Linked DNA regions of Arabidopsis thaliana. The protein of the gene in region 2 interacts with the protein of the main gene of each other region in a pairwise test. Each region holds a gene or a part of one and is shown on either strand. Other genes may lie near its edges.

Region 1 (5,670 bases), on a different chromosome or scaffold from region 2:
TCAAGAGGAAGCTAATAGTTTGTCAAACATGGTTCACTCCGACAATGTCAGGCTTGAGCATGATGTAGCGTTCCTCAAAGCTGTCCTAGACGATACACAAAAGGTAAAATAATCCTAGTAGATATACAAGCGTTTTCAAAAGACTGAGGATTAAAGTTTAATACCGTTTTGTGTTATGGGTTTTGTAGGAGTTGCATTCAACAAGAGGAGTTCTTGCAGGAGAAAGAGCAAGAGCGTTCCAGTTGCAGGTGTCATCATAATCATCAATAGACTCTATTCAAATTTGCATTTTCAAAATGTAGTATTGTTCTAAAAACTTGAGATGAACGCAGGTTGAAGTGTTTCATCTGAAGCAAAGATTACAATCTCTAGAGAACAGAGCTGCTACACCCAGAAAGCCTTTCCATGTCTAAACACAGACCAGAGACAACACGATAACTTTTATGACTTCCATTTTGTAGTACTCGAGACATGACTGAATTCATGTGTGTTGTGGAGTAATGTATAATAGAAGTGAATTCAGAAATGTCAAAAATCAAATCAGATCCCAAGTAGAATAAGACAAGTGACGATATAAACAGCCATTTCATTAAACGTCACCAACTAATAAGCTTACAAAGATACACACACATGAGATGAGACTGTTTACTAGTGCGAGACTTTTGATCTCAATGATTTAGCATTTTTTTTAGGTAGACATAGAAAATAACATTATCACTGAGACTCTTCCTCAGGTGGTTCTTCTTCTTCTTGAAGAAGGTTCTCACGGTTGTCATGAGCCCAGAAGCCACGCACATCTATAAGCATGCTCGCAACGGTTCCACCTTGTTTACATCCCAAGAGATCACCCAGAGTGATCTTTAATGGGTCAGACGGTTTCACCATGTCCCAGATCTCGTCTCGAACATCTTCTATGCACAGTTCATAGTTCCCACCTTCTATCCATTTCTGGTGAACATCTCTGCAAGTTAAACAGATGAATTCAGAAGAGAGACAATGGCATTATCACACATCAATGGTGTGTTTGATATGCACTAGTGTCTTTGCAGATATGAGACTCGCGGAACAAAGCTCAGCTTCCGCAAGCAGGAAATGCAGAGTGTTTATTTAGGAAGATTGTATCAGATAACATCACAACTCTTTGATGCTCCCCTTCTTTACTTCCATGTTTCAAACAAAATTTACTAAAAAGTAAGAAACCAAACAGATTCAGTCGCTTCATAGAGATTCATTACCTGAAAAGAGAGTGAATATCAGCAGTAGTGAGAAAGCCTCTCCCTTGGAGATCAAGGCAACGGAATAAATACGTCAAACCCTCTGGAGTATCTTTGTTCTCCAAAGCAAGAACAAAATCGAGGAAACTGTCAAAGTCCATTTCCCGGGAATTGCCTGCCACGATTTTACCACGGCGGACATGCTCATCGAACACTAAAAAAACAAAGGGGAATTAGTATACTAAGCGTGTCTCGATCAGTACCACGAGCCTACAATCACCAAAAGGGCTTAAATTTACCTCTTTCAATGAAAATCTCAGTTAGGGTCCCATCAGCATATTCTTTAAGTTCTTGTTTGCACAGCGATCCACTCATATCTTTATCAAGTGCGAGGAACATATCTACAGAAGAAAGAGAAACTCTAGATCAATCTCCATTTTAGTTCTTAATATGACATAACGAGAGTTGTTTCCAGTTCTCTGCAGCTATTAAGACAAAATAGCACACCCACCACATATGCGTTGGGCTGAAGTCAAAGAGAACCAATTTTCTGCCTGTTCAGTGTCTGTGACTTCCTCCTCGCTTTCCTAACGTTGAGTAACCAAGGAACAATCAGAAAACACAAGCAAGTAGCTTATGAAAGTGGAAAGTTATACGGTGACGAAGCTGTATGTCATACATCCTTCAACTAAACTTACCTGATGCAATTCCATTAGTTCCTGCAGACAGTTACTGAGCAGTATCTTTTTAATGCAGGCTCTTCCTGTACGCAAAAAATATCACATTTACGAGCGATTGAATACTGGGTCAAAGAAATTTCTAATTGCCTAATAATAATAATATTTTCTTTCACTTACCTCGCCTATGGGGATCACAGAAGAAGAAAAACTTTTGTGAAGCTATGCGGCAATACATTTGATTAAAGGCCGGAGGCATGTCTCTCAGTTGTGCCAGATTAGGGATTAGACCACCAATATAGGACTCCATTTCCTATAATAACAACAGCAAGTAGACTAACTGTAAGGAACTTGACATAAAAGTCAACACCATTTGACATTTGCAGGTAGGACGACTACCTAAAGAATCTTGAGCCAATTCTAAAGTTAAAGCTTTAGAGCCACTTGAGTACTTACATCAGAATGAAGGAAACCATCAGAGTCTTCGTCAAGCTCACTCATATCAATCCTAGCTTGTGTAAGCGACACCTGAATAGTGTTGAACATATGATTAATCAAAACAAGTATTAACTATAGTTGTTTAAGTAAAAGACACGCCAAATTAAAAAAACTTGAAAAACAAACATCCAAAACTAGCAAAGCTGGTGTCACTCAAACACAGTACCAAAGAATATTTAGCTTATGGCGACAGATGATATTCAGCCAATGAACAAAAATGATACCCAAAGACATGACATTATAAAAACATAAGGATACTCACCGTGCGCATCACATAAAGATAAAACGGTAAAATGGCAATCCTCCCAGCCTCATCCTTCTCAAATTTCATGAAATTGGATGGGCTAAAAAACCGGCGACATTTGGGACCGATTTGTTCAGTGCATACAGAGGCAATGTGACAGAAGTCTTCATAGTTCATCTACATGAAAAAGACAGCGCAATATCAGCATCATTGTTAACATAGTTTCAGCTCCAGAGAAAAATCCTATAAAAGATGCACGTACCTTTTCAGCACCAGTGGCATCATCAATCACACAATTTTCTCTCAAACAAACCCACATAGCAGCCAAATCATCAGCGTTTAACAAAAGATCCGATTGTTTCTGTGGGAATTAATCAACATATCGAAGTGAGCAAAAACATTAAACTTCTTCTGAATAATTAAGAGCAGGCGAAATACCTTCAAGAAACGGTACTTTGCAAGCTTCTGGACCCTTTGACTAATAGATCCTTCTTCTGGTTTCTGAACCAAGAGTAAAGGAACAAAATTTTATTGCCTAACACGAATACTTAAAAGGAAAAACAACTTCTATGAAGTGTATAACACAATGCAATATTTTAACCGAGTAGTGCCTTGAAATGCAAAGGCAATCATTTTATACAGAGTAAGGGACATGCCTTCTTGTAGAAACTCGGTATTGTGCCTGCTTCTTGGCTTTTCTGTTGCTTCTCTTTAAAAATCTCGAGCAAGATTCTCTTCGTCTCAAGCTCTACAAAACAATGAACACAAACCCTTATCAAACTAAGCAAAACCAAAGACTCTATCACAGTTAAACATAGTCTTTCAATACATAGACATGTAAATTCAGGAACTTTACTCATATTGAAAACACAACGAGCTCTAAAATGTGATCAAAGATTCAAACTTTACAGAATTTATGACATCATCACAAGCTAAAAGATAAAAAAACTACAGACTGTCCCAACAACCAAAACGCAACAACCGGCAAAAGGAACATTACCCATTAGAGCTTCGGATCCTAATCCGGCACCGGAACCAATATATCGTCGTAGATTTCTAACCCAAAGCATCGAAGACGCCGGTGGGATCTTCCTCTGCGTCGATGTATCATGACTCTCACCATCGCTAGATCCGCTATACATTCTCGGAGATCGTCACAACCCTCGACGATAAATGTTAGTCACCAAATGAAGCAGAGAGATTAAAACCCTTAAATAGAATGGTGAGACTGAACCAGGAACTGCAGAAACCCTAAAGCGCCCCCTTTCTCTCTCTCTCCCTCTCTGGAGCTCAATCTGCGAGATCCAAGCTTCAAACTTCAAAGGTAATAAAAGTTTCTCCTTGTTTGCTATATAAGTCCTCAATTTTATACTACTTTTGATTGTAACCCCCTTTACTTTGAAAAATCAATATTTAGTACAAAATGTTGTTTATATCACATAAAGTCCCGTTAAGATTTATCAGAGAAACAAATGGCTTCCATATCCATTAACTGTTTCTTCACTCCTCAAGCTCTAGCCCGACCCAGTAGGACGAGGAAGATTTTCGCTAAACCTGACAAAGTCTCGGGAAGAACCCGAAGCCCTAGAAAAACGAAGCTTCAACGCGAAGTCGAGCTTAAATCTCGAGGCGGTGATAAACTCCAGCCAGTTTCTGATGCCGGCGGCGAAGCCACTACTTATACACGTCTTCCTCCTAGGGAAGATTACTATGATGTCTCTCTTTTGTCTTCATCTTATTTAAAAGTTTCTGAAGAAGTGAAGCTATCTGAGTCCAATGTCGCGAGGGTTGAGGAAAAGATTGAAACTTTGAGGGAAATTGAGGAAGAAGAGAAAGAAAAGGAGGTGAAGAGTTATGATGATGATGATATTTGGGGAAATTACAGAAGATTAGATGTGTTTGAAGGGAGTTCAAGATCAATTGATGAAGATGATGAAGATTGGGAAGACGAAGTGTTTGAGTATGGTGATGAAACTGATGCGGAGAAAGATGATAGTGAAGGGTCTGAATTGAAGGATGGAGAAGTGTTATGTTTCTCCGGTGAAGAGGAAGAGGATGAAATTGGGGTGAAGGAGAAAGGAGTTCCGGCTGTGATGAGGTGTTTCGATAGAGCGAAGATATATGTTAGAGCCGGAGATGGAGGGAATGGTGTGGTGGCGTTTAGGAGAGAAAAGTTTGTTCCTTTTGGAGGACCTTCAGGTGGAGATGGAGGGAGAGGAGGGAATGTGTATGTAGAGGTTGATGGGTCTATGAATTCGTTGTTGCCATTTCGCAAGAGTGTGCATTTCAGGGCGGGACGTGGGGAACATGGGAGAGGGAAGATGCAGAGTGGAGCTAAAGGTGATAATGTCGTGGTGAAAGTGGCTCCTGGGACGGTGGTTAGACAGGCTAGAGAGGTTGGGAGTGAGGTGGAGGGTGAGGAAGGGGAGGAGAAGGAGGTGCTTTTGGAGTTGTTGCATCCGGGACAGAGGGCGTTGTTGTTGCCTGGAGGGAGAGGTGGACGAGGGAATGCTTCGTTTAAGTCGGGGATGAATAAAGTTCCTAGGATTGCTGAGAATGGCGAAGAAGGTCCTGAAATGTAAGTGTGTATTTTTCTTCATTTTTGAGCTGGTTTTAGTTTAGTGTGTTGATGATGGTTACAAGCTTTGATAGGATAAACTAATCACAGAAGCTAGATTGTTCAAAGATGTAAAAATTTCATTTTGGTTTAGGAACAGTTGATTTGTATTTCTTTTGTTTGGTAAAGCTTGATGTTTACATGTGAGCCCTGCTTCCTTCATTCGATCATCTGGGTTAGGTTTAGTATCTCGGTTAATCTCCAGAGGAAATCTCATCTTGTAAGTAATGCTCACTATACAAGAATTTATATATAGATACAGGTACAGGACTTTTGAAAGTCTTCCATTGCTGACTCTGCTAGTAGAAAAGCTCATGTTGATAGAGGTATGTTAGAGTATTATGAACGGATATGAGTTTCTGGGTTATCTATAGACTGGATTGGGTACTCTTAGAGTCCAACACTATCATGCTGTTGGAG
Region 2 (6,914 bases):
CTAGTGTTGAGACTATTACTATTAGTAAGTCTAAAGATGAGCAAAATCGTATGGTTGGTTCGAATAGAGCGGATACAAGACATGTGGACCACATGGTTCGTTCAATTGAAGATCCTATTATGCGTAAAGCAGGTTTGAAGGGTCCAGTTTCAGTCAGGACAAGACAGGTTCGTGGATACTAAGTACAAATGTTATAAGTTTTTCAGGTGCATCTACGGTGTAATCACTCAGTTTTGTACTTTTCTATGTTCTTTTTGTGGTCAAAGATGTAAGATTATTGTGTTCTTTATGGATATAAGCTTTCAATGATGTTGTACAGTTGCATATGTGTGTGTTTATACAAGAAACGTTTCTAGAAAACTTTGAATCAAATTCGAAGAACTTACCTGAAAATTACTGTCCTCGAGGCCTCTTTTTACCATGTTGAATTAGGTCAGCATATGCCTGGAAACTTAGACCGACATCTTCATCGTATTCAATTCCAAGCTCCTCCTGCAAAGTAACAGTAGTCAAAAATTATGGCGAAGCTGATGTAGTCTGTAAGAAAAAACTCCTGAAGAAATATGAGTTTGCACCTTTAGTTCCTTCACATCTTTGGGAGAATTCTCTGTTACAGTATCCCAAATGTCTCTGAACATCCTCTTACGCTTGCGCCACTGATTAATCTTATCCGCATACATATCTTCAACAGCCTTTTTGTCTTCTGGCCTCACCAATGTAATCCCTTCACGTAGTTTGACCAGTTTCTCTTCCATTTCCTTAACCTGGTACACAGTTGAAATCACTTTATAAGCTATCAACAACCTTACTCAAAGAAAGACAAAAACCAAAAGGTAAGAAAAACATATACCTCTTTCCTTAGTTTGGCATCTTTCTCTTGTATCTCTTCTAGTGTCAAGTTTGACTGCAAACTCTTGATTTCTGCAAATAACATCACAGAACATAACATTATCCAAGCAGCTATATCACATCCTCAAAACCACTGAGAAAAAGTAGTTTTTTCACACCTGATTCCACATCACTGATAGTTTTCTTCTTCTCTTGAAGCTGTTCTTGAAGTTTGGCATTGTCTTCTTTCATTTGAGCAAGTTCTTCAGAGTTTGGAATCTCAAACTGGTCTTGTCTAGCAATGTATATCTTCTGCTTACCATACTCTTTAAACGTGATTTTTCCAGCATCAGCAAGACTATCAAGTGCCTTTTGCACCGCAGTCTTCTTAAGGTTAAACTTTTGTAGAGCATCAGCTGCATTTTGAGTGTTTAGAGGTTTGTTTTGCTGCATCAAAAAAGTACCAACAACACATTCATCAAAATCTAACAACAATAATACAACAGATTGAAACAAAACTTGCAATATATATATATATATATATATATATATATATATAACCTGTATCAATCAATTTTTAAAACCTAGTCAATATCAATAGCTTCAAACGAAAAATTCATGTGTAAACTTATAGCACAAATTGAAACCCAAGTGATTAAATTCCCAGATTCAGAATCATGTGAACATCACTGCGTACCTTAACCTAGACTCAATTTCAAATTCGAATTCTAATTTTTATGGTCGTATCTGTTTGTGATCTCCGTTTAGAATTAAAGCAAAAATGTAGAATCGCAGAGAAGTGCTTACCTCATTGACAAAGTTGAGTACGATAGCTGCAGAAATAAAAAATTCAGGAAACAAGTAAATAAGAGAGAAATCAAAATGAGGAATAAGATCAAAGAGAACTAGCAGATTTTTTTCAGAGATTATATCATTATACCTTCGGTGTTATCCGATTTAGGAGCCATTTTTGTCGAAATAATTGGCGGGAAATAAAAAACCTGAAGCGAGAGCAACTTTTTTCCTTTTCCGATATTTTCTGAGGAAGAAGAAGAGAGTTACTGAGAAGCTTCCTTTATACGAGAGAGATATTAAACGAAGTCGTATTTGTTGGATATATGGGCCTTTATGTATTATACATAAGCCCATTTAGTTCTTATCTTTGACAGGCCCAATTATATGGACACAGCTTGAAGATGGTTTAGCTGCTGCGAAAGACGAGCTCCGGTCTCATTTCTCGTTCTTCTGATTGATAGATCGCTCGGAACTTGGAAAGCAGCGTAATCGGTAAATTCTCGATCATTTCTTCAATTTCGAAACATTTTCCAATTGTATATTGAGAATCTCAAATCGAATTATTGTTTAGATCTTCTCTCTTTATTAGTCTAAGAATGGTAATAGTTTCTCTCTAGATTGGGACGGCACAAAGTTTCAGTTCTCCATTCTAATCATTTTTTAGAGGCTAATGGGTCACCTTTGAATTATCTCAGAGGCGGAATTGAGTTTAAAGTTTGTAACTTTATCGTCTTTTGTATTGATGGTGTCTATGTATGCATTGTGTTTTATTCTGACTTTGTGTACATTTGTGTTTGATTGAAGGTAGGGAGTGATTTGAGTTTTGGTGAGGATGTCTATGGTTGATGAGCCTTTATACCCGATTGCTGTGCTTATCGACGAGCTAAAAAACGATGATATTCAGCGTAGATTGAACTCTATTAAACGGCTTTCTATCATTGCTCGTGCTCTTGGAGAGGAGAGGACAAGAAAAGAGTTGATTCCATTTCTTAGTGAGAACAATGACGATGACGATGAGGTGCTTTTGGCTATGGCGGAAGAGTTGGGGGGTTTTATTCTGTATGTAGGAGGGGTTGAGTATGCATATGTTCTGCTTCCACCTTTGGAGACTCTATCCACTGTTGAGGAAACTTGCGTGAGGGAGAAAGCTGTGGATTCACTTTGTAGAATTGGTGCTCAGATGAGGGAGAGTGACTTGGTTGAGCATTTCACTCCTCTGGCTAAGGTTAGATAAGGCTGGTTTACTTATTTTATCAAATCTCTTTGGTCGATTTTATTGATTCCTTTCCATGCTCTGTCAAACTTAATATTATTAAGCCACTAAAACAGAAGAACATAGATTTTTTGGGGTCCTTTGTCAATTGTCCCCCAAAGTTTGGAAATATGCTTTTCTTGTTCAGTGTTCCCCTTATAGGTGTTTTGGGAAATTGGTAGGTTGAAGTTGTTTACATCCATTTTGGTTGATCTAAGAGAACATCGCTCTGGCTTTAGCGCTCTTTTGGGTTGTGGTTGTGTATGTGACCATACATACCTCGGTATAGGTGCTCGTAATGTGAAACCGACTTAAGCATTACTGAACACTGTCATTGTGTAACAGCGACTTTCAGCTGGTGAATGGTTCACAGCCAGAGTATCAGCATGTGGGATTTTCCATATTGCATACCCAAGTGCCCCAGATGTGCTAAAGACGGAGCTAAGATCAATATATGGTCAGCTTTGTCAAGATGACATGCCAATGGTGCGCAGAGCTGCAGCAACTAATTTGGGGAAGTTTGCTGCTACAATTGAATCAGCTCATTTGAAGACAGACATTATGTCCATGTTTGAGGATCTTACGCAAGATGGTATGCTCTCCCTTATTATATGTTTCGTTTTTCCAGCATATACTCTTACAATTTTCATCAAGCCTAGTTATGGGGGTGGCTGATGTGTAATAGGCAAGTATTAGGGTTACTGCATTGAACACTGACCATTAGCTGAAGTTAAGCAGAATTACGGTTGTCTACATCTCAGCTTCAGTGTCTTTTTATATTATAATATTACAGATTTTAAGTATCTTATTGACATTGATATCAGATCAAGATTCGGTTAGATTATTGGCTGTTGAGGGTTGTGCTGCTCTTGGGAAATTGTTGGAGCCCCAGGACTGTGTTGCACACATTCTTCCTGTGATTGTCAATTTCTCGCAGGTAAATAAATGTGTGAATATGATAAAAAAATTCTATTGATGAGCTTTATGGGAAAGCTGTAAGGCAGATATGTATGAGCTGCTTTATCTTGATTTTTTTCGTCTTTGAGCAGGATAAGTCCTGGCGTGTGCGTTATATGGTTGCAAATCAGCTCTATGAACTTTGTGAAGCTGTAGGACCGGAGCCAACTAGGTAAGCAGTGATGGTTGAAGTTAGTTATGGTTTAATGTAGTATTGACCTTTAGTATGCAATTCTATATCAAACAATAGATTACTGACTTCAGAGGTATTTGGTACTTGGAAGTCCATGTTTGTTGAGTCATCTTAATAAATTTCTTTGAGTCGTTTTTTATACTTTCTCATGTGCCTTATGTATTAAGGACGGATCTGGTGCCTGCATATGCTCGTCTACTTTGTGATAATGAGGCAGAAGTTCGGATAGCAGCTGCTGGAAAAGTTACCAAGTTTTGTCGCATTTTAAACCCTGAACTCGCTATCCAGCACATTCTTCCCTGTGTAAAGGTACACACTTAAGAAGAGTGTGTTGATTTCATATTATGCAAAGGACCAAAATACTGTCGGTGTTTGCTAAGCTTACCTATAAATCTACACGTAGGAATTATCATCAGACTCTTCTCAGCACGTCAGATCTGCATTGGCATCAGTTATAATGGGAATGGCTCCAGTCTTGGGTAAGGTAAGCAGAATTAAAAACCGATACAATTTGCCTCTCATATCATGAATACTGTCATCTATACAAAAATTCATTTGGCTCTATAGTTTGGAGTGTAAGCTCATAATATTCTATGTATTTAGCATCTTAGAGATAAAGATTTTTTCTTTTATTTGAAACCATCTATATATCTTCTTCGTCCTAGTCACTGTCATCTTTAGGAATTTTTTTAACTGTGCCTGGAAGGTTCTCGCAACAATAATCTATATAAGAAAACCTCACTATGTTTTTCTACACAAGATATTTAGTTGGATTTTGCAGCTTTTAACTTGGCATTGATATTCATTTCAGGATGCAACAATTGAGCATCTTCTTCCAATCTTTCTTTCTCTATTGAAAGACGAATTTCCTGATGTACGCTTAAACATTATCAGCAAACTTGACCAAGTGAACCAGGTTTGCTATTGACCAAGTTACTCATCTCTTTGTACGACATTGGGTTTCTATTTTTTCCCACATGTTCAAAGGAGCTGTATCATGTTTTGGTCAAGTCAATGACTACTTGACAGCAAATTCTTTGTCCATCCATTTTTCATAATGATTCGATTTTTTTTCCTTAAAATTGCCAGGTTATTGGGATTGATCTACTATCACAATCGTTACTGCCAGCCATTGTAGAACTTGCTGAAGACAGGCACTGGAGAGTACGTCTGGCTATAATCGAGTATATTCCCTTGTTGGCCAGTCAATTAGGTGTAGGCTTCTTTGATGAGAAGCTTGGTGCTCTTTGCATGCAATGGTTACAAGACAAGGTCCCTCATTCTCTACCTTCATTGAATCATCCAGATAAATAAATTTGTCGTCTCTACTGCTTGAAATTTTGAAATAATTATAAATTGTCAGGTTCACTCAATCCGTGAAGCTGCTGCAAACAATCTGAAGCGTCTTGCTGAAGAGTTTGGTCCTGAATGGGCAATGCAGCATATAGTTCCTCAGGTTTGTGTAGAAATCTTAAGCATATAGTATGTTTTCAATTCAAATCGAGCATTTTAGCTATTGGTTATTGGAGTATATTTACTTGTTCAGGTTCTAGAGATGATTAACAACCCACACTATCTATATCGGATGACGATTCTTCGTGCAGTATCGCTTCTCGCTCCAGTAATGGGATCCGAGATCACATGTTCCAAACTCTTACCTGCGGTAATAACTGCATCTAAAGACAGGCAAGTCTCTCTCTTAACATGAAATCTCATTGACTCAATTTTTTTCCCAATAGCTAACTAAAAGAACCACTCTCTCCTCCTCTTTCAGAGTTCCAAACATCAAATTTAACGTGGCCAAAATGATGCAATCTCTCATTCCGATAGTCGACCAAGCGGTTAGTATACATTCTTTGTTGGCTCTCACAAGTAAAGAAACAGCTTATGATTCCACATTATCCTCCTCATCAGGGAATCTAAACGTCCATATATTCAAATGTTTTCATTTTTGTTGGTTGTGAAAGGTTGTGGAGAACATGATACGGCCATGCTTGGTGGAGCTAAGTGAAGACCCAGATGTTGATGTTCGGTATTTCGCAAATCAAGCTCTCCAATCTATTGACAATGTGATGATGTCTAGCTAAAAAAAGGTAAAGAAGACAGCAACGAATTGTGTTTGGTTCTCATGAGATTTTGTAAACGATACTTTGTCGTGTGTTGTCTTTTACTTTACACGTACGTGACCATTGTTTCTCTCTGCTACTAATGTTAATGTTGGCTTCATGTTTTCTGTGATTTGTTCGTTGGGCGTATTTGCTTTTTGGTGCTTAATTTTGTTTAGTCCAAATAATTTACTTATCAAGTGATTCGGCAACGTTTTTGCTCGAAGCATGAGTGTACAATTGGTCACCACTGGAATATTTTAATTGGTCAACCAACTTATTGAGTCGTTTTCAAGCCCATGGGCTTTTATACTCCACATATCAGATTCAGGTCGTTGTTGTCTTTTTAACTAGAAGACTATTTTATCAAAAGTCAAAACCTTGTCGTAGAAGGCACTTACGGAGAATTATTGACCTAGGAACTTCCCTCGAAAAGTTCAATATATATGTGTTATTGACGTTTTCTGTTTGATTATTTACAAATTTTGTTGATTATTTTTCACCACTCTTGCACACACCTCTCTCGCTATTTCAAAACTCTACGAAATTTCCTTAATATTTCTATTTGATCTTCCAACAGTTTTCGACTCGCAATAGGATTAGGAAATTACAAATAATATCTGAATTATTTAAACGACAACACAAATATTATAGAGTCTTCTCTTGTTTCTCGGCTTCAGTTTATTTATGTTGTTTATGATTCTGGCTTAATAGTTACGTAACCAAGAGTTTGGAAGAAGAACGATGACGATGATGCAGTACCTAATTCCAGAACCAAAAACAA
Region 3 (6,047 bases), about 14 Mb from region 2:
CGTCACGGAGCCAGTAGTAATTGTCAACCCTAACGTCACCGAACATCTCCATCACATGCTCCACCTTCTTCGCTACAGGAGGGGATCTCGATTCCGCCATGTCTCTCGGTGATGTCAACCGCACTGACGCAGCTCCGGTTTCAGAGGAAGAGGAAAAAGAAGAAGACAGCCGTAGAATAGAGCGGCGGCGAGGAACAAGAGGAACGAGGCAAGAGAGAGGAGTATCGAAGTGGAGAAGACGACTACGAGTCGCGAGAAAGTGAGTGCCGAGAGATACGAGTCCACGCCTTATTATCATATTACGTGTCCGTTTTAGTTGCCTAGAGACTCGCGACCAGTTTGTTAATAGAGGACAGGTCATATCCGGTTTGGATAAACCGGCCTATCTATGATTCCGGTTACAAAATTATTAACTCTTTCGTGAATTTTTGCTAGGATTATTGAACAAAACCAAATAATTAGATTAGAAACAAATTACTGTTGAATGTTGATTAATGGTCTTCTATGTTCTTGTAGTGGACTATTTTTGAGCTTGATGAATTTTATAAGCCTGAGATTAACCCAGAACCTAATCAAACCGTGCTAAACTGCAAATAAGCTGAGATGATAAAAATTGGTCTTGCTTACAGAACAAAGATGAAACAAAACAAGAAAGAAAGCACGTATAATAATAACATCCAGAAGAGGTTCAGGTTAAAGTGCATCAAAACCACTAAAATTACCAAAGTGACATTCACTTTCACAAGAAAATGTTTCCAAAATGGAAAAAGGAAAAAAAAAACAATGGAAGTGTAAACAACATCAGAAGATATACCTTGAAAGAACATAAGCCAATGGCAATCATGATAATGGCTAACTTGATAAGAGCAATACGAGACTAATAATGATGTAGGATCATCATCATGAATCACAGGAAATAAGGAACACCTGTCCTTGGCCCTCTCATTTGATTGTTCTCTTCTGTCTCCGTGAAGAACTTCACTTCCCTTTCCTGGTAATTAAGCATATTTTAACAAATCATTACTGTCAGTGAGGACCAGATCCTAAACACTTCCCAGAAACAGGTCTATATATGAAAAGTAACACACAGAGCACAATCAATATGGACAGACTGATTCCACGCGAACTGTGAATTGTTACTAAATAAATGGCTTAAACATCATAACTCTATCTCACAAGAGTCACTCATGTGTATATGTTTGGGTCGAGAGACAAGTATCAAAGGCAGTAACTTATTTAATCAAAAAGGAAAAGTAGAATCCGAAGACGAGTGCATAAAAGTAAGAAGAACATGAAACAAGATATTGTGGCAGATCAGTAACAAAAGAGAAAACAAATGCCTCACCATGTTGTCATTGAAACTCAATATAGAAGCCACATTCCCACAACGGTAGCAGTAATTAGGCGCAGACCACACCTTTACAAAAAAAATAAAGAGAAGAAACATCACCAAGCAGATTATACTTCCAACTATCCAAAATGATCATAAGGAAGCAAGGCACTTACAGTTACAAGACCTTTATCTTGGAACATGTACTTGAGACCTTCTTGTACAAGCTGGTGAGCGCGACATACTAGATCAAGATTGTTAATATGGTTAAACTGCACAAGAAGCAAAACCACAGATCAGGGAACTGAAATACATTTATTTCTTTTCACACCTTATTCAAATTTCAACCCCAGAAAAAAATATAAATACCTCAGTGGTAACCCTGGACCCGAAAAGCCAACCAGCTCCACGTGGACTGACAGCCCATGTTTCAATATCTTCAGGATCACTCCACATAAGATCACAGAAGGGTCCTTCATGCGGTATTTCGCAATTCCGCTCAATCAATCTTATCTAGAGAACAAAATAACATCTAAATGAGTAAATGAGATTTAATCTAATCATAAATAACACTTGCATGGTGAAAACCAAAAGTAATTTAAAATAGCACATTTTAACCTGGTCAATTGTCCGTACATCAGGTGAAAGGCCACCATGAACACATAGAACCTACATTGAGGATGCAATACGTTTTAATATGGTATACAGCTAACTTATGCATTCATAAAATTATACAAGAACACATCATAACACAATGCCAAAGAAGCTGAGAAATACTTACAGTGCCATCTATAATAGCTGAAAGTGTAAGATAGTCAAAAACATCCGTGCAATATCTCCAAGCATTAGCATTACCATACTTCCTTTGGCATTCGTCATAGAAACCATACACCTAGCAAATATAAAATTGGTACGACAATTTAAGAAAACTATAAAAATGAACCTGCAGGGCACAAAATATCACTACAATCTTCGTCCTTGACAGTGGATGTTAAAAGATATAGGATATGGTGTAGGATAGAGATAAATCAAGAGCTTCCGAGAAGAAAACTTATGGTTGCAAAGGGTTCACATAAAATGCATCTTAGTTAACATCTATGCCTATATCTAGCATGGCATTGCCACATGTACAAAATAAACTTTCAAAACTAGTTATAACAATTGAGCGAAAATTACTTCTCAACCAGTAACTGCGTGAAGAGCACAGCAAGTCAGCAACAATAGATATAAATGGATTAGAATAATGCATACCTGAGTTAGCTGTCTACTTTCATGATTTCCACGCAAAAGAGTGATATTGGCTGGATGTCTACATATTGAAATACAAGGAAACGAGTGATTTTAAGCTCACAGCAAAGTAAGTTAGAATATAAATTTCCTGGAATACAAGTTAAATCGATTTTCCAGTAGAGCAATGCGTTTACAGCTTAAAGAGCATTCTCAAGAGAACTATGATATACAGTGTGAAACGGAAGGATGACGATCCATGACATATATAACGCACAATTTCTACGGAAAATCTTACCTTGCTTTAAGAAGCAAAAGAATGGTGAAAACTTCAAGACTGTTGTAACCTCTATCAACGAAATCCCCCTGAGAAAATCCCCCACAGATAATTAAACTATGTGTTACATATTGATATGTCATACGAGCCTACGCCCAAAGTCAGAGTCTATACCATAAATATGTAATTGGTCTCGGGAACATGACCTCCGGTCTGGAAAAGTTTCATAAGATCATGAAACTGGCCATGGATATCACCACAGACGGTGACAGGACTGTTGACAGGTTGTACATTTGATTCCTCAATAAGAATTTCTTTCACCTATATAATAGTCAAAATATCTTGTGAATTACCAGAGTATCTTAGCAAATCATTGTCATGAAAAAAGAAGAAGACGGCTGCTACTACAAGTTTCAACACTAAAATTACTATAATAAATCCTCAAATAACAGTTTGCAAGCGTGGACTTGGTGCATCCATAAATTGGCTAAAGAAGAGCTAAACTTATCCCTAATTCCTTAGAATTTAGAATTGAAATAGCAAAGTCAATAAATCCTCTATTGGAAAAATGAGAGAAAAACCCTAAAATCCGTAGACCAAAATGGCAAAGGAAACAGTAAGGGAGAGAGACCAGATTCAAAGTAAAGTGCCACAAAGCAAGCTCTAAAGTCTCAAAAGAGTAAGCGAAGAATTGGGTTTTTGTAGATGCATGAATATTCGGGGAAGAGAAAGCAAGCAAGAGAAGAAAGAAGAAAGAAGAAGAAGGCGTACGTATTCGCAGAGAAGTTGAAGCTCGTCCTCAGAGAGATGTTGGCCGTCTTTAACCTTGGAAATCCATTGATCTAAATCCATGGCGGCCTTTTATTATCCTCTCTGTCTCTCTCTTTCGGTGGTGAAGTGGAAATTGGTGCTGTTTCTTCGATTTCAATGGTGAGTCTCGACGATCTCTGGTGAAGAATTGAAAGAAAGATAGATCTAGCAGAGCATTGCTCCGTCCGCTTAGGGTTACGTAAGGGGGAAAGAGGGAGAGAGAGAGAAAGGGGAAACACAACGAACCAAACAATCTCGACCCGAACCCGATTTGGTCTTCCTCCATCCCCAAACTCTATTCGTTGGATATTTATTTTTAATCATTTTTTTGGCAACATATTAAACATCAATTTAATTTTTATCTATTACTTCATTACACAAATCTTTAATGGAGTATACTACACATTTTCAATGTTTTTGCAATTCTTTTCTTGGTAATTTTATTTGTCTACTTGAATGTGACAATTGATAACACCTAAATAAAATTCCACAAATACTTAAACCTTCTTTATAGTATTTTTTCTTCTTTTTAATTTTTTTAAAAAAACACATTTCGATATATGTGTTGTTGAATTTGAGTAAGACCTTTTTGATAATTAAAAACTCCTAAAAAAAATTATTTAAAAGTCTTGTTAAACAAATTGTGTCTAAAGACACATTTCGAAATCTATGTGATGTTGAACTTTTGAGGAAGGTTGTTTGTGGGAGACCGTACGGGATATGTTAGAAATGAATCAATGATCTTGGATAGGCATTAGCAATACGATCGTTCAAGAGCGAACCTCACTCGATTCATTTCAATGTTTATGTTTGGGTCTTCCCATTTGGCTTCTGGTTAGGGATAATTTGAGAAGGAAAAGTATTGTTATGATGACCTCTAAAAATGACAAAATGGAATTTGTCTCACCAAAAAATCTCCAATGTTCAAATTACATCCGAAAAAATCACTAGTCGGAGGGCCAAATATTACGGAAAGTATATATTGGTGTTGGTTTGGTTTATACTTGGTCGAGAGGTGATCCGAAACTTAGTTCCACTTAAAAAAGTGATGCATCGCAAAGGTAATTCGAAATTTAAATTGTGAAGAGTTTACTCAGCTGCAAGAATAGAAATGATTTTTCTCAGACATGTTCATTTCGGGTTTGGGCTGGATTGAGTTTTTTTTTAACCCACGACAACATTCCAAGAAAGATCACTTGTTGAAGAGGGATTCCACCAACTGACCATCTGATACAAGTGCATGATTTATCATATGTAATTTTATCCATCAAATTATCTAAATTTTTGTAGAGTCTAAGTCGAGATATCACTGAAATCGGCCAAAAAAACTAGTAGTTAAATAGTTTTTAAAATACACATTGTCCAAACACGATAAAGATTTTTTAAACTCAAAACAATCTTGTATAAAATCTATACAATTTTTTTTTCCCTTTCTAACTCCATATGTTTACAAACAAACAAACTTGTAAGGAAATTTATATTATTATCATAGTTTACCACCTTGTAGTTATTTCTCGCTATGTCCATTTTAATTAGCTTGATAAAAAACTTAACTATTTAAGAAATATAAATATTGATTTGTTTTTGCAACGACTATTTATATTCAAATACAGCAATGGTTCACTGGACTTTGGAATCCTTGACAAATAGATATACTGTATAATATAAAAATTATTTACTGAATTTGCCAATAGATTTGGGTGGCAAATGAAAAACATGACTCTTTCAGTCCCAAGGAGCCTTCTCACTTCTAGCAGCAAAGCCAAAAACCGTAGTTACATCAAACGTGTAGAAAAGGAGACGTGCGTCTCAAGAAAAGGAAGTAACCATTAATACCTAGTACTCCTCAACCTCCCCCACCAATTCATCTTCACCTTCTCCGCTGAACCACCTGTTTCTTCACTCCCAAGTTTGCTAAGTATCAGTTTCGTTTCCCTTAGTCTCCCTCCATAATCTTTCTTCCATGTCTCAAACATCTGTTTCAGCCTTCGTAGCTCCCGGTCCGGATTCAAGTTTGCTTCCACCTGACCAGATTTCACTTCCATCAAGAACTTTCTGTCGTCACCAAATACCTGAGCTCTTTGTCCAAATTCCTCAGCTAACCGGCTTATCACGCTTAAACCCACGCCTACACTTCTTGACCTGCCATGGCCCATTTGGTAATGACTACCTCCTGAATCTAAATCTGTTGCATCGCTTGCATTCACCGATGCATCCGAGTTTCTCGCTGAGTCCTCAACCTCTAGGCTTTTCTTTGCGATGGAAAGACTGGATTGCAAAGATTTCATCTGCTTTTGCCAAATTTCTTCCATGGATTTCATCTTTGTTTCATATTCAGACCACCGGTTATCGTACTGCTGGACTCTTTGTCGGAGGATGTCGTTCTCCTCTTCTTTCTCACGA

Evidence for each region.
Region 1: the proteins of PP2AA3 (region 2) and FASS interact in a two-hybrid assay, tested with the Arabidopsis thaliana proteins (one study listed by BioGRID).
Region 3: the proteins of PP2AA3 (region 2) and FYPP1 interact in a two-hybrid assay, tested with the Arabidopsis thaliana proteins (one study listed by BioGRID).

What each region holds. Positions count from the first base shown.
Region 1 is NC_003076.8:6,173,259-6,178,928, reverse strand, and holds FASS (tonneau 2 (TON2)), read right to left. Parts: upstream 3,958-5,670; 5' UTR 3,776-3,957; coding exon 3,634-3,775; intron 3,382-3,633; coding exon 3,290-3,381; intron 3,135-3,289; coding exon 3,072-3,134; intron 2,995-3,071; coding exon 2,896-2,994; intron 2,811-2,895; coding exon 2,652-2,810; intron 2,420-2,651; coding exon 2,348-2,419; intron 2,205-2,347; coding exon 2,072-2,204; intron 1,978-2,071; coding exon 1,913-1,977; intron 1,802-1,912; coding exon 1,726-1,801; intron 1,616-1,725; coding exon 1,514-1,615; intron 1,429-1,513; coding exon 1,236-1,428; intron 1,226-1,235; exon of another isoform or gene 962-1,225; coding exon 715-961; 3' UTR 528-714; downstream 1-527. Other genes in the region: AT5G18590 (Galactose oxidase/kelch repeat superfamily protein), read left to right, coding at 1-103, 189-248, 333-413; EMB269 (GTP1/OBG family protein), read left to right, coding at 4,106-5,211. UniProt on the Arabidopsis thaliana protein: Probable regulatory subunit of type 2A protein phosphatase involved in the control of the dynamic organization of the cortical cytoskeleton.
Region 2 is NC_003070.9:4,562,890-4,569,803, reverse strand, and holds PP2AA3 (protein phosphatase 2A subunit A3), read left to right. Parts: upstream 1-1,954; 5' UTR 1,955-2,115; intron 2,116-2,427; 5' UTR 2,428-2,455; coding exon 2,456-2,848; intron 2,849-3,057; exon of another isoform or gene 3,058-3,220; coding exon 3,221-3,467; intron 3,468-3,699; coding exon 3,700-3,812; intron 3,813-3,924; coding exon 3,925-4,004; intron 4,005-4,192; coding exon 4,193-4,334; intron 4,335-4,428; coding exon 4,429-4,509; intron 4,510-4,836; coding exon 4,837-4,941; intron 4,942-5,114; coding exon 5,115-5,297; intron 5,298-5,388; coding exon 5,389-5,481; intron 5,482-5,571; coding exon 5,572-5,711; coding exon of another isoform or gene 5,712-5,715; intron 5,716-5,799; coding exon 5,800-5,866; intron 5,867-5,992; coding exon 5,993-6,112; 3' UTR 6,113-6,376; downstream 6,377-6,914. Other genes in the region: AT1G13340 (Regulator of Vps4 activity in the MVB pathway protein), read left to right, coding at 1-182; AHP2 (Tat-binding protein 1(Tbp-1)-interacting protein (TBPIP)), read right to left, coding at 394-492, 576-764, 851-921, 1,008-1,275, 1,636-1,661, 1,769-1,796; AT1G13310 (Endosomal targeting BRO1-like domain-containing protein), read left to right, coding at 6,875-6,914. UniProt on the Arabidopsis thaliana protein: The A subunit of protein phosphatase 2A serves as a scaffolding molecule to coordinate the assembly of the catalytic subunit and a variable regulatory B subunit. Involved during developmental process such as seedling and floral developments.
Region 3 is NC_003070.9:18,656,533-18,662,579, reverse strand, and holds FYPP1 (Calcineurin-like metallo-phosphoesterase superfamily protein), read right to left. Parts: upstream 4,073-6,047; 5' UTR 3,687-4,072; coding exon 3,606-3,686; intron 3,156-3,605; coding exon 3,009-3,155; intron 2,924-3,008; coding exon 2,856-2,923; intron 2,640-2,855; coding exon 2,582-2,639; intron 2,223-2,581; coding exon 2,112-2,222; intron 2,000-2,111; coding exon 1,949-1,999; intron 1,844-1,948; coding exon 1,700-1,843; intron 1,603-1,699; coding exon 1,507-1,602; intron 1,418-1,506; coding exon 1,346-1,417; intron 992-1,345; coding exon 908-991; 3' UTR 528-907; downstream 1-527. Other genes in the region: AT1G50380 (Prolyl oligopeptidase family protein), read right to left, coding at 1-298; VIIIA (P-loop containing nucleoside triphosphate hydrolases superfamily protein), read right to left, coding at 5,474-6,047. UniProt on the Arabidopsis thaliana protein: Catalytic subunit of protein phosphatase 6 (PP6). Dephosphorylates phosphorylated phytochromes, with a preference toward Pfr forms.